Oreochromis niloticus: one gene and its partners. The protein of the gene in region 1 purifies or fractionates together with the protein of each later gene. This does not show direct contact. Links are inferred from orthologs where the notes say so. Each region holds a gene or a part of one and is shown on either strand. Other genes may lie near its edges.

Region 1 (7,794 bases):
GGTTTCTGATGTTGACTCTCAGGATGTTCTGGAAAATGAAACTTAACTTAAATAGCTTAAGAAAAAGAGGTAGTAAGATGGTTGTGGGCCTGAAGCCTTCCCTAAAAGACATTCAGGGCTGGTTCAATGTTTCTGGAGGATTAACATGAAGAGACAGGGTTTCCTCATAGCAAGGTTGTATATTTATTTTTTTTTAGGTTTGTTTTTTCTCATTGAAATGCTTTGACCACAGACTACTACCAGTACATGCAGGACTGAATGAGCTCACAGAGGGCTGGTCGCATGCAGGAATGTGACAAATCTGATTAGCATCCTGATGTGTTTCAGTAACTTGGAGACAAACACTGGATGTGCGTTGCACTGGTATAAAATCAGTCCTGTAACAGAGATAAGTAGATGTGTTTGAGGCTAGATGTACTAGCACTGACAGGAAGTTTGGACACTCCGGCTTTTAGTTTTCCAGCCAGCTGATGTTGATGATGATGATGATGATGATGATGATGTTGTCAGCCTGGGTGCGATAGTAATGGTGTTATCATTTACTTGCTTCTCTGTAGATGTAGAGGCGAAACAACAAAATGGCACTGATGGCATTAACCTGGCCAAATTCTGTCAGTATCGTTGGTGCATGGCGAGATTCACGCAGCGCCTGACTGTATCATGGACCTGATAGATATTCATGCTCAGTGTCGGCCAACTATCTCCATTTAGATCTCAGCTACTGTGGCTGTGATGTTTCTGGCTGGTAAACAAAGTCGTTCTTGTCAAGTCTGGAGAGCCAAACCTCCTAATTAGCCAGGCAGGCAGGCCTGCTGCCCAGTCCAGCAATACAACTATGCAAGAGGAATGCATATAATCCACACTCACCCTCTTTTTCTTTTTTCTTTTCCTCCTATTTTTATATTTGGTTTTTCTCACTGTCATACAATAGAAGCGAAGATGTAAACTAATAAGAACTTGCAATGACAATACTTGGCCTTATGATGATTTCTGAAATCTTATCGTTTAGTTTTAAGATCTTTTTGATTCTGGTCAGCCAGCCCAGCGACAGCAGCGGTGACGGCGGGCTCACTCTTGGTCTCTGTGAGACTGGCTAGATGGCCCCAGTTTTATCGTGGTACGAATGTTGTGCATTTGTTTAAAATCAGGACAGTTTGCAATAACAGCAGTCTTACTAGTGGCCACAAAGGGGGCACAAGCAGTGCTGACGGCGCCCGGCTGCATCTTTAGAAAAACCATAGAGGAAGAAATATAAACTATATAGATATCTAAACTCACACAGTGCATATTTGTATAGGTATCAACACTGCATTACCGTGGTATACTCTTATGCAACACATGTCCGGGTTCAATTTATGAACATGAAGTATACTCTGAAGTCACGCAGACTTTGTAAATCAGAAGCTCTGTTGTTGTGTGTTTTTTGCAGAAATGGTTTTACCATCGTTAATGTTGAATATTCTGAGCGTAACGTTCCTGTGCGACTGTGTCGGTTAACGTGAGCACATAGCACCAGGTTATTACCTCCTTTCTGTAAGCAGGGAACCAGACTGAACCCAGAACACAGCTGGACAGACTTCAGGTACCACAGAGCATATTTCAGAAACAAAAACTTCCAAATCTGTTCTGCACAGAGCTTTAAAAGCGAGTCAGTGCTGTAACTCACCTGAGCTATGTCAAACAGACCAAGGTGTGATTAAAAGAATGGCTTGTGGATTTTTAAGACCAAGCAAAACCGAGTTTTACCCTCAATGTCTATAAGAAAAGGCACATAAAAGTGATATTTGAACTCATCCCAGCTGTTTTTTGGATTAGTCTGCAGGGAAAGAGTCCTCTGGAAGTAAGAGGACAGATTTTATCATTGAACAGTGTTGATCCATGGCTCTGTGGTGAAGAAAAGGGAGGACATGTTATAAACCTCCATGTAAAACCTCTGACCTGACAGATGGCATACACTTGAGGGGTCAACCTGACGAATGTTGATTTGAATTATTGTGGAATGAATGCTTCTCTTCTTTTAGTCAGTGAATAAAAACAATAAAATGTCACTTGCTTCGTTTGTCTTTTTTTTTTTTTTTTTTCTTTTTTTTTTTTTCCTTAAATCCATTTAAAAACTGGCATTGGAAAGAAGTCGTCTGTCGTTCTGCAATCTCCAATCATCAAACCAAACCAGACCATTATTGTGCATGAATGTCAAGTAGACCCAAAACTAACTCGGTCACAATTAGTCTGCAGGGACATTACATGACCCACTGGTTTCCCGTGTGTCTTTAAGTAGCCTATTGTGTCTTTTTCACACCTCCACACCCGTTAGTGCAAAAAAACAATAACTGCTCCTCATGACCTTTGGGTTGTTTTTTTTTTTTTGTTGTTGTTGTTGTTTGTTTTTTTTGAATGGGTTCAACTCACCAAATTTTAAATGACATTTCTCAGTTATTAACCATTTCCACGCCTACAATGGACATAAGCATTAGAAAAGATTCCTGAGATGATGAAAAAGACGACTTGGTCTTGCCTTTTCTTTTAAGGTCACCCATTTAATGCAATAATCAAAGCTGTTAACCCACCTCAATGGTTTTGTTATCTATCTGATGTGGCTCAGTCGAGTGGGTAAGTGAGAAAGTGCCACTGAAGAATTTGATGAAATAATCAAATGTAAAGAAAATGTTAAACTGCCCCACCCACCCCCACCAGAAAATTCCTCATCTTTACTTGTTAAGTCCCTCCCCACCGAACAACGATATTACACAATGTTATTTTGCCATTTCTTTGTTTACTCAGAGGAAGTCCCTGCAGCGCACCACGGGGACTTCCTTTGAGTAAACAGCATAAAGCACTTGCAAATGGATCTATGGAAGCCCAGAGATGTAAAACATAAGACAAGAAAAACGTGTCTCTCCTTTTTAGCTCTTCTGCAAAATCCTGCTCCAAAAAATATTTCACAGGTTAAAATATTCCCCTGTGATGATTTCAATATCCTTCTGCTCCTGCTCTCCTGCTTCCACATTACTGATTTCACACCAGCCTGTCACCACAGACTTGCTTTTTATCTGCTCAAAAATGTCTTCCAACAATAATTTTAATCATAGTTTGAAGACGCCAATGTCAGAAATGAAACGGGCAAGAAAATGCCCCTCATGTCAGTATACACTCACCTACCACTTCATTAGGTACACCTCTTTAAACACAACTATCTTACCTGAACGTAATTCAACCCATTTGGATACGTAGACATGGTCAAAACAACGTGCTGAACTTCAAACCGAGATTCAGAATGTAGAAGAAAGGTGATATACGTGGTTTTACAACCCACGCATGCACAAGAGCCTCTCTGAAGGCACAGCACATTAAACCTTGAAGCATATGAACTACAGCAGGAGAAGACCACATCAAGCGGCCCTACTGTAAGCTAAGAAAGTGGAGCCATAATTCAGTTTTAGTAATATGTTGGAATAAATGTTTTATGGGTTGCCTTTCCCAACTGTAATGTACTATTATGCATCACAAATTGCTAAAAAGCAGTCTGCTAACAGTAAAGTTAATTAAAAAGCTTTTTAATTAATGGACAGGAATAACTGTTTTGCACTAATGCTGCAGGTCTCAGACAAAGAGCTCGTTCTCATCTGGATAATGAGACAAGGAGATTATCATTGTGGCATTTCACAATTAAGCTGAAACAACAACACATTTTTTTCCCAACCAACAGTCAGAGGAGTGGGTTTTAGAAGGCTGGGTTCTCTGTTGTGTAATTAAATGCATGATGACATCAGTGTTATTGGACTGGTAGTAGAATGATATGAAAGAATCATCAGCAGAATTGTAGCGCACACTGTTAAAAGCCAGGAAATCAGCTGTGGTTTGATGCTTGGTTTCCACTTTGATATGCAAGAGCTGCAACAGCGGGACTCAGAAGGGTTTTATTTTCAATCCGGGGCTCGCAGCTCGGAGCCGGCTTCCTCAGTTACTGATAGAGATCAAAAGAGGCAGGCAGGCACCCTGAATCTGGCTGTCAGGAGAAGAAAGAGTGTCTGTACTCAGGAGGAGTGAAATAAAAGAACACTTTCTTCATTCCTGTCCTTAATCCAGTCTCGAGAGTATCGTCTGTATCTTTTAAACCTCTCATGAAGCTTTAGTAAAAACAGATACAAATCAGATGTTTTAAGTCTAAATTTATTCTGCTGATGCTAACTTGAGAAGTAAATCCTCTTGCTCTATGCAAATTGTGATACATTTCTTCTGGTTTAATTCCTTTGTGACTTCTGAGGATTCACAGATATTTTGTGCCTTCTTACAACATTTCACATATAGCACTTTTCACCACCTGGAAAGGGTCTTAATTTATTGTCTTCTACAGAAGTAAGAGGCTATAACACTGAACCATGTGTCTTCTTATGAAATTAGATAATACGCTTTTCATTTAGTTGACTCTCAGAGAAGATATAGGTGCACTGTTGGCTGAAATAGCACACACTGTGATATGTGATCAGTCCTGCAGTGGTGAATAATCCGCTGCTTCTTGCCTTCAGTTGCTTCCTTGTACTTTAGTGTGTGTGTTGTACTGTTCTGTCAACATTTTTACTTTGAATTTAGTTTGATCAACTTTAAAGACCCTTCTAAGGCTGGGAAAATTAATTTTATTTCAGATACACGCAAACACACCTTTCACCCCCGATTTTAGAACCAATACATACACGTTAGTAAGCATTATCCATCCCTGACCAGAGGGTGGCGGTGATGCGTTGATAAAGAGACAGGATGCAAAGGAAGAAGAGTCTAGAAGTAGAAGAAGAGGACGAACACGTGATTCGCGCTAACTGGAAGCAAGATGGCGGTGGCAGTGCGGAGTTTGCAAGACCAGCTAGAAAAAGCCAAGGAAAGTTTGAAGCATGTGGACGATAATATTCGTAAACTGACCGGACGTGATCCTAATGAATCAAGGTAAAAAGCTTAACTGGTTATTTAGTTTTTTAGCGAGTTCCTGGAGTGAAGCTGAAGAGCTGTACTCAGTCGACGTGTGCTAAGTTAGCGTGGGTCGGCTAACCTGCAAACAGCACCGCCTCCTTGTTTTGTGTCGCACATATAATGTTTTTACCATCTTAATTTATTCGCATCAAACGAATAAAAATTAACCAAATTGGTAACTTCTTAAAATATTGAATTGGAACATTAAATCTGGTAGATGAACAGAGTCGAGGCCCTGCAGGAGGCGTCGTCCGGGCGGCACATCACTTTGTCTTGCTTAATAATAAAACGGTTCTGCAGCAACACAAACGCATAATGTTAAAGTGAGTCTTATTTGTCAGACTGTATTCTTTCTTTTGTGTTAACCTCGGTGTCCCCTGTGCTTGCAGGCCGGGTCAGATCCGTCGGCTTGGCGGCCCCATGGCAGGCCCTGGAGGAGGAGGTAGAGGCAGAGGAATAAACCTGCTCAGGTAAATCTTTGCGCTCCCCATCTCGGAAAAAAAGAGCTTTAGATTTTCAACTTTAGTGGGTGATCTGAAAAGTATATACAACAGTACCCCCCCCCCCCCCCCCCCCCCCCTTCCCCAATCACACATCTTCCACAATCTATTCAATGTGAGACTTGGCGTCACGTCACTTCTTAAATAAGCCTTGTTGTGAAGGTTTGAACTGGGTTGTTGCTGGTTACAGAATGCAAGGCGTAGTTTATGACCATTTGCACAATAGCGCACTTATAATCATATTGATTTCATCAGTTAGACGTTAAAAGGGGGAATTGTTGTGCTTTTTTTCATATTAATAGCCACGGGGAAGTTAATTATCAGAAGCAGAAACTATGTAACTTTCACTAAGTAAGTAGCTTGGTTTACAAAGTGTAATGGACTGAGAAGCTGCCCCATTTTGTGTTATAATTTGCTTTGGGGTTTGTTTGGTTTTTTTTGTGAACCATCCACATCTACTATAGCCAAGAACAAAAACATGGAGTTGAGGATAAATGTTAATCACATTTGTCTGATGTTTTTATGATTCAGTCTGTAAAGGAAGCACTGTTGAAACACATTTTCTGTTTCAGTTAAATGTTCAAAGAGGGTTTGAAAATGGTTGTTTTTTGTCTTGATGCATGCTCAATCATCCAAGTAATTAAATCCCAGGAAGTTGATTGTTCATCAGGGCGTTGTTTTTAGTGGGCAAAACTTTTGGCTGCTCATTCAAGTGACTTAATATGCAAAGTGCTATGACCACTTAAGGACAATGAAACTGACCTCACGACCCATTGTTGGTCCTTAACGGTAGTTTCGGTCATTATGCAAATAAACTGTTTAAAAGGTTGGGGAAACCTAGGGTCAGCTCAGTCTGAGCTCAGTCACTTGGATGAGTGAAGCATTTCTGACTGAAAACAACACGTCCAGATGAACGGAATCAGCTTTCTTGGAGTTTCTTTGCGTCTCTCCAAAAAAAGGTAGAATAAATTATTTAAACCGCAAAAAATTCAGTCTGTGCATCTCTAAAGTTTTCCTCTTTGTCCTTTCTCAGACGCAGTCTCTCAGACATGGGAAGCGGCGGCCCTCCTGCCAAGCAAAGGGACATCGAAGGAGCCCTGCTAAGGTGAGATCTCGACTTGAAATATAATATAGTGATTGGGTAGTTTCTAGTTTTGGAGCTTGTGTAACACATTTTACCTGAAACCCTTCATTAATATTAAGATTATTTAACAAGTATAAGAAAATATGTTTCTTGTTGGGGGGGGGTGTTATGTAGACTAAAACAAGTTTTCTAGAGTAAATTGTATCAGACTGAAAGTACAACAGCATTTCTGCACATGTAAGGCATTAATTGAATGAATTCTCAGCTTTCTGTACTTTTTTTTTTTTTTTTTTTTTTTTTTTCCCTCCTTGTCTTGATTTCAAAGTACCATCTCTTATGAGTATTTGATCTTTGTGTGGCTGCAGGCTGGCAGGGGACCAGAGGGCCAGGAGGGACATGCGTCACGACAGCGACGCTGAGGATGACGATGATGTCAAAAAGGTAATTTTGTCAAAAATACTTGATCAGTATTTGCTGCCTCACAGTGGGTTTTTTTTTTTTTTTCTGCTTTGAAGTGATAAAAATCCTAACAATTTGCTTCTTGTCCTTCCTTCAGCCGGCGTTGCAGTCGTCTGTAGTAGCTACCTCCAAAGAGAGAACGCGCCGAGATCTCATTCAGGACCAAACCATGGATGAGAGGGGCAAACAGAGGTAGCTCTTAAACTCTAGATTTACATTCAGATTTGATTACTAAATAGTCTGAGCCATGATCAGTTTAATTTCATCTGGCAAATGGCAAAACGTGTCTACAGCTGAGAATTAAGTGTGTGATGGTGGTGTTTGTATTGTCTTGGTCAGGAATCGGCGCATGTTCGGCCTGCTCATGGGGACCCTACAGAAATTCAAGCAGGAGTCAAATGTCTCTTCAGAAAAGGTGAGGAATAGATTCATCTTTTGCTTGGTTATGAGAGCAGTATTTTTGAAAATATAGGTTTCTGTGTTGATGAGGTCATAAATTCCATGATTTTTTTCTTGTTCTGCTTCATATTTCTGTTTGTCATCCTGCAGCAAAAGCGACGTTCTGAGATTGAGCAGAAGCTCGAGGTTCAGGCTGAGGCTGAGAGAAAGAAGGTGGAGAATGAAAAGAGGGAGCTGTTTGAAGAGAGGAGAGCCAAGCAGACAGAGCTGAGACTTCTGGAGCAGAAAGTGGAATTGGCTCAATTGGTAAGACAGTGTATTTGTTTGAAAGTGGGACTAGCATGAAAGTGGCTGAGTTTTGTTTATTTTTAATGAAACTGGACTTACTGA
Region 2 (7,201 bases), on another chromosome or scaffold:
CTTAGAAACATGTGTAACAAAGTAAGAGACATATATTATATACAGCACGTTATATTTTCCCTCATCGATGAATTATGAAGTAAATTTATTTCTTTTTTATTTACTTTCTTGAACTTACGCACTTTTCTGTCCAACTTTCATTGATAATGAAGTTAAATCAACGCAGTCTTTATCCACAACATTATGTTTAATTAGTAAGAAAATCATTTTTACAGCAACAAAAAAATATTTCTTAGGAAAAACATGAATTTCATAGCCAGTAAAACCGGAGATAAGTTTTTATTTCAGTTGCAAACGGCTGCTTTCTGTATTAGAGTCACAGTCACACTGTGTAGATACCTAGAGCTTTTATTGTGAAAGGCGAGGACAGGAAGAAGCCATTTGTGTCAAACAAATCAGGATTCCATTACTGGACATCACTTCTTCCATTTCAGAGGGCGATGCGAGGGAGGAGCGTCTCCATGGAGACCATGTCGAGGGGCGGGGCTGGACTGCCCACCAGTTTGAGTGGGGGGGGTCTGGCACACCTGAACGTGGAGGTGAGTTGTTCTGCAGGTAACTGAAGGAGCAGGTTGAACCCCGCTCGTCTGTGAGCGGCTGTAACACCTGGACTCTTTGCGTTGGCAGTGTAACGTCAAGTCTCCCGTGAAGCGGCGCTCGGGACTTTTTCCTCGCCTGCTGAGCGTCGACAGCCAAACAGAGAAGCACAGCCAGCGGAGGTAACGCTGCCCAACGCTCTCCTGTCTCTCAGTTTGTTTACCTGGACAATAAAGTTCAAACCCACCAGTGTGCATGTCAGCACTGCTGCACAGGTGGGGGCACACCTTCAGGAGAGCCAGTCTCAGCAGGTGTGCTGCGTGTTACTGAGCTAACAGCTCTTACCTGCTTTCAGGACATTAACCCCGCCTCCTCCTGTCTCTGTTACGCCTCCTCAGCCTCCCCGGTGAGCAGAGGAGCTTCGACGGATGCCACCCGATGCTGGAGGTGAGGCCGGAGCTGCCGTCCAATCCTAGCACTCCGGAGGCGGGGCAGCGGGACAGGTGTGTGCAGCAGAAGCAGCAACAGTAAGAAATGAAAGAAGCAGATGTTTCAGTTTTCACTGCGAAACAATAAACTTCATCACTTTTTTACTTTTATCGGCAGGATTCACACGAAGAAGGAGAGCAGTAAGATTTCCAGGTCGACATCCAGCACCTGCAGCTTCAGCATCCCAGCTGACGACACACACCTGGTGAGACAGGTGAAAACACACTTAAACCATCTGTTGGGTCAGCGTTATATTCAGCTCAGTGTTATTTAGGGCGCCTTGTATTGTAATGCAGACCCTCATCAATGCGTCCTCCCTCTGTGTCTCTACGTGTATAGGCTGCGACGGTAGAAGGTCAGAGTTCAGCTCCGGTCATCGTGTGCCGCAGCCCCACAGGTGCGACGCCCGCTCACCGCCAGCGTTTCTGTTCTGGAGCCGTTCTCACGTCTCGTTTGCTCTCTCCTCTCTCAGAGCTGAAAAACAAGAACTCGCCCAGATCCAACCTGAAATTTCGCTTCGACAAGCTCAGCCACTCCGCCGCAGTAAGTCTGTGTGACAGCCAATCAGCAGGCTCGCTGTTTACCTGAATATGCGGAGCAGCTGATTGGGCTGCACGCCTCCAGGACGTCACTGCTTTTTGTTATTTTGTTCAGTGTGATTTTTCAAGTATTTTCTGTGTAATCTGATTACTGAGTGTGAAACCTTCCTTCTGTCTGCAGCAGGGACACTGAGCTGACAGGACGCCGCTGACAGGTGTGTGCTTTCCCAGAAGTCCGATTTTAAATTCCATTTTTCAAAGTGCTGCTTCTGTCACTCTGTTCTGCTTCTGAGTCTACTTCCTGCTTTATTTTGAAAGTTAGTTCCTCCTGTAGCGTCTCGTGTTTTACTTCCTGTCTTGGTTGGCGTTCTCGCCCTGGCGCTTGTCTTGGGTGGCTCGTGTTCACACTTTCTGGGCCATGATGTGAGCGACTCTCTGAGCTGGGTTTGATGTGTTCCTCTTTCTCTCGCTGCTTTCCAGAATAAAAGCCTGAAGCTTCAAACAGACGGCAGTCTCCACACAGGAGGAGGAGGAGGAGGAGGAGGAGGAGCAGGAGCAGGAGGAGGAGAGTCTCCTGATGGACCACCACACACACATACTTGTCTTTCTGTCTTTGTGAGGACCCCAAGTGCAGCTCTCCTGTTTCTGTCTGTTTTTTTCTTCTCATCTTCTGCACAAACCATAAAATCATTTCTGAACAGGACACTGAACACGTAGTTCTTTTTAAACCGTCCTACAGTCAAGTTCGACCCACAGAGCTCTCCCTGTTTTGCGCTTCTTTCAGTGTAAGATGTAAAGAGGAGGCTCGCTCGTTCCCTAGAAACTTTATTTATCACAGAAACACCAGGGGGCGCTGCAGAGAGGGGCTGAGATTCCACCCAAAGGACCAGGACCCGAGCAGCTAAGCTTCCCTGAGGGGCAGCGGTTAATGCCCCTCTCCCCAAACACCGCTGAGGTGCTCCCATCCAGCTGGGAGATGTCCTCTCTGCGGGGGTCCAATCATTTCAACCAAAACAAGAAAAACAAAAACAGCACAGCAGCTCAAAGTTTGGGGATTCACTCATATCAGAGGCAACCACAAGAACTGCAACTACCCGCCCCCTGTCTCCCTGTTAGATGACTGGTCCTGAGTGCTGTTTAGTCTTTTTGTCAGCCGGCACGGTGCTGGTCCCCCCGAAGGTTCCTGGTCCTGGAGGAGAGTTCCTGCGGTGGATGCGAGGCCTTTACAGGCCTAAAGTTTGTCGTTGGGTCGTGACTCTGATGGTTTCTCAACACAGACACAGGAAGGCGAGCGCATGCACTCAGGTTAAAAAGGACGGAAATACAGGAAACACGTTAACTGCTGGAGCTGCTCGGTCTGCGCGTCCATGCTGAGCTCTGTGGGATTTATTCTTATTAATAACAAATAATAACACGTGGCTGTGGGTTCAGATTCAGACACGTTAGAGACAGACGCTGCCGTTCTCCTCACACATTACAACGTCGTGAGCTCAACCTGAACCTTTTTTAAACTGCAACCAAATCAGTTTCACTCCTGCTGCAGGAGTCGCAGTGTGATGATCTGCAGCACACAGGGTCTGAGCGACGGGGGTCAGGTGGGCGGTGCTGCAGGTGAGTCAGAGAGGTGGAGCTGCTGGAGGTCAGGGAGAAGAACAAGAAGCGCTGTGATTGGTCTGATGATGGGGTCTGAAGCTTCGCTCTCCCTCTCTGAGAGACGTTCGCACTAATCACGCCAAGTCTCCAGGTCACTCACTCCACTGGAAGCTGCACAGCTGCAGGAGTTCAGCTTTTCAAAATAAAAGATGATGCAGCATGAACACAAAGATGTCTGCGCAGTTTTCTGATGTCATAAAGTGTGTGTGTGTGTGTGTGTTGTAAAACCTGTAAAACTGAACATTTCACAAATAAAAATCAGCTTCTTTCAGTGTTTGTTGTTGTTTTTGTCGTTTCATTTTCTCCCAACTTTTTTTTAAATTTTTTTTTTTTACTGAAGACCCGCTTCATCTGCAGACGTCATTTTTCATACTAACCAGCAGCTACAAACTGCCTCAGAACCAGATGCTGGTTAAAGTTCAAAACATTAAAAAAGTTGATTGTTCTTTTGTAAAAGAACCAAAACTAACAAGGAATTATTGACTAGCTGTTCTTCTTATTTCGTGTTCGTGTTTATTTGTGCATTAGTATGTCTCAGTATCGGTTATGAAACAATTAAAGCAAATAAATATGAAACTTTATAAATAAGAGAAAGAAAAGTTATTGTTTAAATAACGGGATGAATAAACGTTTTTATACTGCGTTTTCATTACTTTCCATTTCCGTTACAGCCTTGTGTTTATGTATTTATTTATTTATTGTAATTCTGACAATGTTATCTTGATTACCTGTTTATTAATTACTTTGTACTTTTTTGTTTAGATTTTTCAGACATTGTGCAGTACACTTCAGCCCTGTTATACTTAGGGCTGTTTACATTTACACATTTATTAAAAACATTGGTTTACATGTTTTAATATATCGTCTGTGACGCTGTTAAAGTGTCTGTTATTCAGCACCGCCCTCTGCTGAGCATGACATCATGTTTTACCTTTAATAACCGCAGGGGGCGGAAGAGCTCCGGCGCGCCGCCTGCAGGCCGCAGAAGAAGTCGTAGGTACCGTTTCCGGGTCAGCCAAGAGCCGCAGCGCTAGAGGCCGTTGTTCGCTGCTGGGTTAGCACCATGGCGGCAGTACGCAGCTTGCGGGTCTCGGTGAAATCAGACAGCGGCTCCGACCGCTCGGACTCGGACTCCGAGTCGGACAGAGATGCCCGCGAAGCCGAGCCGATGGAGGTGGAGGAGGGAGAGCTGGACCCCGAGGACATCTCCGTTAACCGCTCTCTGAAGGAGCTGCTGCCGGTAAGCCCGGACTAGGCCCCGGCACTCCGGGGACTGGCGTCTCCGTCGCCCGGCAGATCCGCGGGAAGTGTCGGCTAGCGGTTACTTGGACTCCCGGCTCTCTCCCGGGAGTCAGCCGCCCCCCTCCCTCCGCGCTGTAGGGGCTGCCGATGAGCGGCGGGGGCCTCGCGTTAACCGGGCTGGTTTACGTTTTCGACATGTTTGCGGGGTTCGTGTTTATTTCAGTCACTTGTTGCTGTGTTCACGTGCTGTTTGTGTGGAGCGCACGTCCCACCAAACTCTATTTAAAAAACATCGAATTTAAGATGTTTACGTGTAATAAAAAAAAAGAAAAAGCAGAGACCGCAGAGTGCTCATTTTCCGCAACTATTTCAGCAGGTATGCGCATACCGAACAGTTCTGCTTTCTTCTAAGCGTGAACCTGGATTTCATTATTCTTCCTTTGTTATTTACTCTTCCTGCTAGTGTAGAGCGTCCCTGCCACCAAACCTCATCTAAAACTAGGAAGTTTGACGTTTTTACGTGCAGAGAAATGCAAAACGGGTGAAGTTATTCGATTTGAATGCATGCACACTTAGTAGTTTTTATACCTTCGCGGGTGTTTCCTCTCCCTGCTAGCACACCAACAGTATCCAGAGCAGTTTATCAGCTGGAGAAATGAAGGTTTTCTTCTTGTGTGAAAGTCACATTAGAGTTGAGTCTTTACTGTGGAGGCCTGTGTGGCTGCTGCTGTGGACTTCATACAGCCTGTGTTTCCCATGTGTTTACAGTCACTTTGTAATGTTGCTGAAGCAAACAAACAGAAACGGCTCAAAGAGAAAGTGAAACCGTGGCTCACTGCTGTCTGTCTGTTTCACAGGACACCAGTCGGCGGTATGAGAACAAGGCTGGAGCCTTCATCACTGGAATCGACGTCAACTCTAAGGTAAACCATCAGAGAGTGTGTGTGTGTGTGTGTGGGCGTTAGGCTGCCACTTTAAAGTGTTTCTCACTGTGGGCGATGTTAGTGAAGTACATGCAAGAGTCTCTGAGCGCCTGTAGGGTCAGGACTCATGTGAGTGACCTTTCCAAAGGTCACCATGACCTGATGATATCAGGTAAAGAGTGATAGCTGAGTGGGAAGCTCAGGGTTCAAACTCCTCTGAATACTCGACTTATTTCCTTTTTCTTCCTCATCAGGAGGCGATCGAGAGGAAAGAGAAGCGAGCGCAGCGTTTCCATTTCCACGGGGAGGAGAAGATCGGCCAGCGGAACGTTTTCCTGGATAAAGACGCCATGAAGAAAGGTACGTGTCCTCCATGACTGTCAGCAGGCAGAGCCAACCTTTTCCTGATGAGGAGCTCGTTTAACATGTCGTCGTCTTCTTCTTCTGTGGTGCCCAGCCATCCCCCAGCTGCGCATGGAGGCAATCCATGTGATGGGCGTGGACGACATGAGCACGCAGGACGTCTTCGGGTACTTTAAAGAGTATCCTCCGGCTCACATCGAGTGGATCGACGACACTTCCTGTGAGTACGGCATGCAGACAGAAGAGCCCGGCTGCGGAGCTCATGAAGCTACTGCACGGGGCGGGGCATGTGACTCTCCCAGCCAATCACAGCTCAGGTCAAACCCTGTTCTCACCACCTGATGGTTTCCTAGGTAACGTGGTTTGGCTGGATGACGACACCCCCATTCGGGCGCTTATCAACACCAGCCGGATGCCTGACTCGGAGGCTGTTACCACGGAGACGGGAGGCACCAGCCAGCCGGGCGAGCAGAGCAAAGGTGAGTTCGAGTACTGTAGGGGAAACCACCAGAAGCCTCAGGGCATTGTGGGTAAATGTTACGATGTCGCAGGTCGGCGAGGTCAAGGGTCAGATGACGAGGACGATGAAGAGGAGGAGGGCGAGGTAGACGAAGGTGAAGAGGAAACGGCGAAGAAGCGCAGCGAGGAGATTGAGGGGAGAGACAGCGACGCAGAGACAAAGACGAAATCTGAGAGCGGACAGGTAGGACGCCACCTGACCAATCATCAGGTTTACTGACCAGTGCCCAAAAGTGATCGATGATGTCATCGGCTGTGTGCGCGCAGGCCGACCTGTCGCGGGCGGAGAGAGCATCCCTGCTGAGGAACGACCTACGGCCCGCCATCAAACCCTTCAAAGGAAACAAGCTGCTGCTGCGCTTCGCCACGCAAGGTGACACACACACACACTCACACACGCACAAGCCCATTCAGCTATCTTAGTGAGGACCTTCATTGACATAATGGTTTCCCTGCCCTCTTACCCTAACCCAGGGGTCAGCAACCTTTTACACCCAAAGAGCCACTTGGACCCGGTTTCCACGCAAAAGAAAACACTGGGAGCCGCAAATACTTTTTGACATCTAAAATGAAGATAACACTGTATATATTGTTTGTTTTATCTTTGTGCTTTGTGTAAACAACTAAAGTAAGTAAGTAAAGTTTATTTATTAAGCACTTTTCACAGACAGGCAGTCACAAAGCGCTGTACACAAATATTAAAATAAACACTACAATCAATAGACATTATACACAATGTAAAAGATCTAATGTAAATAATGTAAAGAATATAAAATACGTAGATCAACAAAAGGCTTGTTTGAACAGAAAGGTTTTTAACTGCTTTTTAAAAGAATCCACAGAGAAACTAAGGTGTGCTGCTTATGAAATCCATGAAGTGCTACAGAGAAAATTACATTTTATTTATGTAATTAACACATTTTGAACTCTTAAAAA
Region 3 (7,701 bases), on another chromosome or scaffold:
TAAGATACAGTACACTAGTTCCAGTTTGTAACCTGGGTGGTTTTACACTGTTTATTTTGTGACGCAGCTGTTGGACCTACAGCACTGCTTAAATATCGCCATTACAGGCTTTGACTGTCACCCATATGCAATTTTACAGCCATGCTTAACTAAGCACTTGAGAGGAGTAAAATTAAGGGTTTCTGCAACTCCTGTTTTCTAATTTGTCAGCCCTTCACAGACGTTCTCCTCTGCCACACCCTGCACCTACACTGATGATCTTAACGTCCACAATGAACTTCAAGTCACCGCCCAGTCTGGCTGAAGTTACAAGACTTTCTTAATTTTAATTTTAATTAGTATAAACCTAAAAATGAAACCAATGGCGAATAACACTGATACTTATGTTACAATCTACTAGGCTCCTGGTATTCATGTGGATGTCATTTTGACACATGCCACCCACCTAAACACTGCAAAGCAAGCACCCCACCCCATGGAAAAGGCACCCCACCCAGAACAGCACAAAAAAACTGATTCCAACTTCCCAGATTCCAGTACTGATCAGGCATTTGCAGTACACAGTGGAACAAACCCAGTGTCCATTGCCCCAACTGGTCTGAGCTGTTTTGGATTTCAGAAGGGGTTTTTTCTGGTTGTTCTCATCCTTTCCTTAAAGCAAACATCAACTGAATCCCCCCGATTCAGGGAGTATGGCCATATGCTTAGCCCATACTCCCAAACCCACTTCTTTGCCCTTGTAAATTGTATGCCAGCTCTTATTCTCTCAGAAAAGTAAATAACAGAGGCTCGTAAAGCAAAACTGTTAAGAAGACAAGAGAAAGAAAAAATATGGATACATCTGTCAGGGAACAAATGACATCTGCTTGATAGGAGCAGGCGCTCTTTTTTTATTTAGAAGAGCTGCCTAAGCGTCACATTGAGGAAGTCATTCTGAGCTATAACTCTATCTTTGTCTGCAGCAGCAGACAAAACCCAGTGAAGAGTGCAGAGGCTAGGGTGACAGCGGGTTAGCAAACTGCCTGAGCGTCTTTAACAGGCTCTATAATGGACTGTGGTTGTCTTCAGCGAGCATTTGTTGGACCCCATGTTTTATGGCCCCGTCCTTATTGTGTCTCCAGTAAAGCCCAAAGAGCAGAGGGCTGAAAAGTCAAGGTAGGCTTAATGTCTGCTTGGGTTTTTTTCTCAGGGAAATACGAGTTGCAGTCATGAATCAGATCTACCGTGTCAGTGCGCCATTATTTGTGAAATGTCCATTCATCAGTAATGTGGCTGCAGATCTTAGAGCACAGTCATTGTATAACTGTGCAAAGGTGCAGTTTTTACCCATGCTAACAATTCAATTCAATTTTATTTATACAGCGTGAAATCACAGCAACAGTCACCTCAAGGCGCTTTATATTGTAAGGTAGAGTCTACAATAATACATACAGAGAAAAACCCAACTATCATATGACCCCCCTATGAGTAAGCACTTTGGCGACAGTGGGAAGGAAAAACTCCCTTTTAACAGGAAGAAACCTCCAGCAGAACCAGGCTCAGGGAGGGGCGGGGCCATCTGCTGCGACCGGTTGGGGAGAGAAAAGTAAGACAGTACAAAAGACATGCTGTGAAAGAGAGCCAGAGATTAATACAGGTAACAGCATGTCCATGTATCAGTACGTGGTTGAGCAGCCCATATGTGCATTATGACCTTTTAAACAAGTATTCTCACAAGATGAAACACATTATTTTTCATCAGCAGCTTATTTTGCATATGTTGTTCTCTGTAATCACAATGATGCTGATCAAATAGCATCAAAATGCTAATCAAAAGCATCCCTAGAAAAAGGAAGACTGGAGCTCTAAAAGACATAATCACTAAATATGAAGGAAAACAAATTAGTTATAAATGAACTGGTTCAACTGATTTTGACATATACTGCAGCTAGCCACAGAGGAACATTCACAATATCTTGGCTTCGCCTCTGGGTAGCTGGCATGTCACACAGCCCTATCCAATCTGGCTCTAACTCTGTGACAAATGTTCTGATTAAGGGCCTCATCATTTATGGGTATGGATCGAAATATAGCAGCAATCGTCAGGATGCTTCGGACTTTCTCGACTTGAAACAGGATGTTGTGATCAGCACCTTCTCCCAAAGTATGTAATCATTACTTATCCTTCTAGCATTACAGCTTACTGCTGCTATTATTCGACACTTGTGCCAAACAGTGAAATGGTACTCTCATTAAAGTCAGATGGATTTATTCTAGATTTACAGTTGTACAGATGTAAAGTTTAATCAGATTTTTAACCTAAAATAAGGATATAGGAACTGTTAAAATAAAGCTTCCTGCATCTGAAGATCTTATCTTATATCGTTACACGATATAAGTAGTTACACACCTCATAAGTCATACAATGTAAGACACAGAGATTGGTCTTTAGATTGCACAGCAGAATGGAGTATACAACATTTGCCTCGTACTGTATACTGCCATGATTTACTGGGGACACTGGGATGGGGCTGTGAACTAATGGAATATCTAATGTCTCTGTGACAGAGACTTTAATCAGTTGTGAGACCTCCAGCTTGCAACTTTACCATATAAATCTGAGATAGGCTGCACGACAGAAGGCCCAGGCTGCGAGTTACATCCTGAGACTCTCTGTGTTTATACTCTGTACATACAGTGTGGATTTATGTGAGAGGGGTTCCAGTAAAACTCAAGTCGCGTTGGGTATTTTTCGGTATATACTTGTTGTACTTGTAAACAAAATTTCAGAGTACTCAAGCATACACAAATCAAGATGTCAGCAAACACATGATGATAATAGTACCATCTGCAGTATCATCATTTGCCAGAAAATCTCATCCCATCTGCCAGGATGTCAGCATTAACACCGTTATGTCTTCATGCTTCCATTACTTCGTCACTGTTGTGGAGCAGCCACAGGTGTCTCACAATACCACAATTTACTGCTTGATATAAAACTGTCAGTGGATAATGCCCAGCCCTTGAATGGGCTTGCATCCTTGAAAGTCATGCGGTTTCACAGAGCTGTGCTCAGAAGCTACCGCTTACAGCTCGCAACTTTTTGTGTTGCGAACATGATGCCTCAGATCTGTCTGACTAGATTTTGCATTTTGTATGAAGCAACACGATAAAGCAGATGTGGTGTTTGGTATTTTTTTAACTCTGTCTTTCAGAGTCACATGCTGTTTTTCCCCTTTGCAGAAGGATTACCACTTTCTGATACTGGACTTGTTCTTGTTTTTGCAGGTCTGATGACTACCATAAGTAAAAGGCTATTTATAGAACTGTGTAGAAGTGTTGAAGCGCTGATCATTTCTGCATTTTTTGCTAGGATGTATGGAAATATCTTAGCTAAGTTGTCTGTCATGTGTAGGCATTATACTGGTTCATCCCTTGTGCTATGTGTCTTTTTATGCTTGGATGATTCATAGGTCAGTGTTAAGTGGCTTAACAAACTCACACAAAAAGCACATTCCTCTAAGGTACAAGAACCTGACCAATGACCTGCCTTTTATTTACAGTATCCTCTTTAAATAAAAGGCAATAAAGTTCAGACACAGAACTCAAGTATCACACAGTGAGACGCTTTTACTTGTTCTATTTTTACCACAATAATACTAAGTAACTTCCGCAAAATCATTGCTGTTAAAATGTTGCACTGGAGATAAAACTGTAATCATTCATGTGTCATTTTGTTGACCATTGGCGCACACTGAGGTGCGCAATTGTGACGCGCACGAGGGGTTTTCAGCAACCACGTGAACCACTACACATGATCCACCTGTAGTTAACCTCCTGGGCCATCCTGTGGTAAAAGCAGACCGAGCAGGCTCCAACAGCCTGTCCTTTGCACGACTATGTTTTCAGTTTTTCTATAGCCAATGTGGTCATTTAAAATCCTGTATCCAAGTCTTCAGGTCGCCCATCGATTTATACAGAAAAAATACGAAAATTCAAAAAAGATCAAGTACATTGTGGGGTATTTATTATACATTTGTTTTTATTATCCTTTATTTATCCAGGTGAAAAGTTTCAGTGAGATTTAAATCTAATTTCCAAGAAAGACCTGGCCAATAGGGCAGCAAAAGCCACAGCAAATACGACGCATAATAATATGACAAGTAAAAAACAAATAATATATTGCATACGGACAAGTGAGCACAAACATGTGAATAACACACAACAGCAGATCATTAAAAGCCACATTAAAAACAGTCACACTGGCTAAAAGAGCTATTCTCTCGCTCCTTTAAATATACATACAGGACAATACATACAGTACACAAACAGTAAATATAAATTTCGAGTAACGCACCTTAAAATTTCTTGATAATGACTTAATTTCTTGAGTTGCGTATCTCAGAACACTGACTTACTCTGCAATGTTTCCATTTGTACGTTAGCATTTCGAAATTCTGAGATAATAACACGAAATTTCAACATTCTCAACTTAAAAACTTTGGTTAATAACTTTACATTTCGAATTGCTTATTACAAATTTTCCACTCAGAAATAACTTGAAATTTCAAGATGCTTAATAGATGAAAGATTTGACATAATTACCAAAAATTTTCAAAAATTTTAATTTGGCAGTTGTTCGGGGAGGGGGGGTGTATATGTGTGTGACGTAAGTGGCTAATATGAACATTTCAAGTTACACGAGCACACACTCTAGTGGACAAAGAACAGACTTCAGTGCACAAATCCTGACTGCGATGCGCCGCCAAAACACCAGAGGAACGTGTCAGTATTTTGATATCATTGTACCCATGTGGTGAAAGTAGCCGAAGAAGAAAAAGCCCCCTCAGCTGAGGAAAATGGCCGACGTTGAGATGGACATCTCGTCCAGGAGAATGAATAATGGCAACGAGCACGTGTAAGTTATTAAATTACAGATATTTAAAGTTTGTGGCAGTAAGTTATAGGCCTCTTTCAGGTCGAAAATGAAGGGAAGTGTTAGCATCGCCGGGGCTAACGGAGTAGCAGGTTCACGTTGTTGCCGGGGCATGCTCAAGATAGGCTAACGTTCTTGGCTAGCTAGCTAACGTTCTTTAGCGCGGCTAGCACTAAGTTTCGGTGATAGCATGCAGAAGTGTACCTCATCCGCGTTTGTGTGTATTTGCCTCAATAAAGTGTACCTGCTAAGCCACACACAGTGTAAGGTTTGTACTCCCTCCCAAGCAGCTATTATGTAATGTAAGTTAGCATAGCTAAAATTATTCACGGGATGTAGCTGGTTAGCACTAACTTTGCTAAAGACGGTTAGCATGTCAGAGCTAATGAGTGAAAATCATCTTGGCGGTCTCGCTCGGGGAAAGAGGGAGCAAGTGAAGGTTACACGGGGATTTACCGAGTGTCACTTTCTCATCAACGAGTGGTTCTGATGAGTATTTCTACAGTTTCCTGCTAAACTGACCACATTATATAATCCCGGTATACCTGATGTTAAACACCTTACGGTAACCTAAAATGCTACACTTCGGGCGATGATGGGTTAAACTCGGAAATGAATGTTGTGTAATCTATGGACTGATTTTTAGACTAAATGCTCACGATGTCTGCAAGTTACCTCGAGGAAAGAATAGCCAGCTTTATGGTCTTTTTTTATGTGCATGTATAAAAATTAAAACCACTGATGATGATGTTGTATGATGTTTGCTGCTGTGAATAGTGTTCACTTCATTGTGTGTTAAAGAAATAATAATTGGACAGAGTTTCCTATTTTGCCAGATTTAAAAAAGATTTGATGTGTAAATGAAATTTTTAGTTGATTATCATAGTTTTTTATATCCCAGACACTGTTACTTAAACTTAAGCACCTGTCAGTATTTTGGACAGATGGCAGAACTCTGTGTGTCTCATTCTATGGCATGTTATCAGTTGCATTCAGGGTCAGGCTGTGTGTTCCTACTACCAGTCCAAAAACTATATTTAACCCAGTTGCGTGTATTTTTTAGACCTTTGTTTCCTTTTGACTTCAGTCAGCCAAATAATTTAGCACTAAAGTAATTAAATATTCTTTTTTTGAAACAGGAAGCAAGATCTGGAAAGCCATGAACGAAGTGGAAATGAGGACAGTGGCGACATATCTGAAGAGGAGGAGGAGGAGGTAGGGGTTGACAATGTGAGGACCTAAATGCCATCAGTGGTGTCATCTCTTTTAACACAAATCTCAAACTATAACAAACTGTGCTACTATAACTTGCTGTAAGATCACCTTTAACCAAAATTTAGTAACACTTTTTGTCTATATCAGTCATTCTGAATACAGTCTAGGTTTGTTAGGTGGTAAAAACTCAAAGAAAACAAGATTGTATCTATGTTTACACCATAACTAAGAATTACAAAGATCATCTGTCAACTAAATTGATTGTTATCCTGGTATGTTCACATGCTAGGAGGAGGCTGAAACTAACGGCGAGAAGACAGAGGAGGGGTCCAAACATCACAGCAGTAGCGGTAAACACAAGCGGAAAAAACACAAGCATCGCAGTAAGCACAAAAAGCACAAACATGCCTCTGATGAGGACAAGGACCGCAAACGCAAGCATCGTCACAAACATAGGAAACACAAACGCAAAGAGGGCTCCTCTCCCTCCGCCGCTGTCCTCTTTGGCTCCTCTACTCATAGAAAAGTTGAATCTTCTCCTTCTTCTGGAAATCCAAGTCTGGATGACAGGGCCTTGCTGGAGGATTTGGAGAAACAGAGGGCCATGATCAAAGCTGAACTTGACAGCCAGTTGATGGAGGGAAAAGTTCAGTCTGGCATGGGTTTGATTCTTCAGGGGTATAACTCTGGATCTGAAGAGGATGGAGATGCAAGGTTCAGAAATGGAGAACCACGACAAAGGGGCAGCTCAGGTAAACCTATATCACCCAGAGGAGGAAAAAGTGGCAAATCTAGACGGGACTCAACAGAGGGCAGTAAGTCTAGCTCCAAACGCCGTAGTCGGAGTAAGTCTGCAGACAAGCCGGCCAAGGAGTCTAAGCAGGACAAGGTGACCAAAAGCACCAAGGACACAGGTGTAAAAGACAGAGGGCGTGGAAGGAGCAGGTCAAAAGACAGGAAGCGTTCACACAGCACTGATAGGTCCAAGGAGAGAAGGAAGTCCAACTCTCCTTCCAGCTTCAGGGCAGAGCAGAAAGTCGGCCGCACTGATAAACGGTCCTCTCCGCAGCGGGATGATAGACCCAACCAGGAAAGAGTGAGCCGACGGTCCAGATCGCCTGGACGGGAACGGCCAAGTCGCTCAGACGCTGACCGGGACAAACGGCCAGCCAAGTCACCATCCAAGGACACTTCTTTAGGAAAGGAAAACCGTTCCCCTCATAGACGAGGGGCTCACAGCCCTGCAAGGAAACGCAGCGCTTCCCCTCGCCATAGAGATGCCCGCTACCCTTCGGCTAGTGCCTCAGAAAGGACATCAAAACAGAGCCACTCTCCTTCCAGAACTAGGTTCTCGCCCCAGAGACGCCGTAGCCGCTCACCAGAGGTCAGGAGGCGAGATGCTGAGAGGCAGGAGTCACCACTGAGGTTAGTGCACACCTCTGGCTTTTCCACCGTTTCCCAGAATAAGCTGATTGTGACAGATGACAGAATTGCCTTTCAGTTTCAGATGAATAAAAGTGAGTTTGCAAAAATGTAAAATATTTAAGTGTTCATTTATAAAAACGAAAGAT

The links. Proteins that work in one complex are often made in the same cells at the same time.
Region 2: the proteins of pnn (region 1) and ncbp3 purify together in Homo sapiens (co-immunoprecipitation; 3 studies listed by BioGRID and IntAct, counting the BioPlex papers as one, with this or other methods). This does not show direct contact. The link is inferred for Oreochromis niloticus from reciprocal best matches to the Homo sapiens genes PNN and NCBP3.
Region 3: the proteins of pnn (region 1) and prpf4bb purify together in Homo sapiens (affinity purification with mass spectrometry; 5 studies listed by BioGRID and IntAct, counting the BioPlex papers as one, with this or other methods). This does not show direct contact. The link is inferred for Oreochromis niloticus from reciprocal best matches to the Homo sapiens genes PNN and PRP4K.

Annotation. Positions count from the first base shown.
Region 1 is NC_031983.2:25,169,690-25,177,483, reverse strand, and holds the start of pnn (pinin), read left to right. Parts: upstream 1-4,780; 5' UTR 4,781-4,825; coding exon 4,826-4,938; intron 4,939-5,351; coding exon 5,352-5,432; intron 5,433-6,495; coding exon 6,496-6,567; intron 6,568-6,911; coding exon 6,912-6,987; intron 6,988-7,102; coding exon 7,103-7,197; intron 7,198-7,344; coding exon 7,345-7,420; intron 7,421-7,554; coding exon 7,555-7,710; intron 7,711-7,794. UniProt on the Homo sapiens protein: Transcriptional activator binding to the E-box 1 core sequence of the E-cadherin promoter gene; the core-binding sequence is 5'CAGGTG-3'. Capable of reversing CTBP1-mediated transcription repression.
Region 2 is NC_031975.2:32,673,352-32,680,552, forward strand, and holds the start of ncbp3 (nuclear cap-binding protein subunit 3), read left to right. Parts: upstream 1-4,191; 5' UTR 4,192-4,281; coding exon 4,282-4,458; intron 4,459-5,317; coding exon 5,318-5,383; intron 5,384-5,637; coding exon 5,638-5,743; intron 5,744-5,840; coding exon 5,841-5,966; intron 5,967-6,099; coding exon 6,100-6,225; intron 6,226-6,297; coding exon 6,298-6,449; intron 6,450-6,532; coding exon 6,533-6,638; intron 6,639-7,201. Other genes in the region: rap1 GTPase-activating protein 2, read left to right, coding at 435-539, 628-719, 936-1,064, 1,144-1,240, 1,366-1,423, 1,499-1,569, 1,747-1,758. UniProt on the Homo sapiens protein: Associates with NCBP1/CBP80 to form an alternative cap-binding complex (CBC) which plays a key role in mRNA export. NCBP3 serves as adapter protein linking the capped RNAs (m7GpppG-capped RNA) to NCBP1/CBP80.
Region 3 is NC_031974.2:14,009,789-14,017,489, forward strand, and holds the start of prpf4bb (pre-mRNA processing factor 4Bb), read left to right. Parts: upstream 1-4,691; 5' UTR 4,692-4,838; coding exon 4,839-4,897; intron 4,898-6,054; coding exon 6,055-6,145; intron 6,146-6,419; coding exon 6,420-7,555; intron 7,556-7,701. UniProt on the Homo sapiens protein: Serine/threonine kinase involved in spliceosomal assembly as well as mitosis and signaling regulation. Connects chromatin mediated regulation of transcription and pre-mRNA splicing.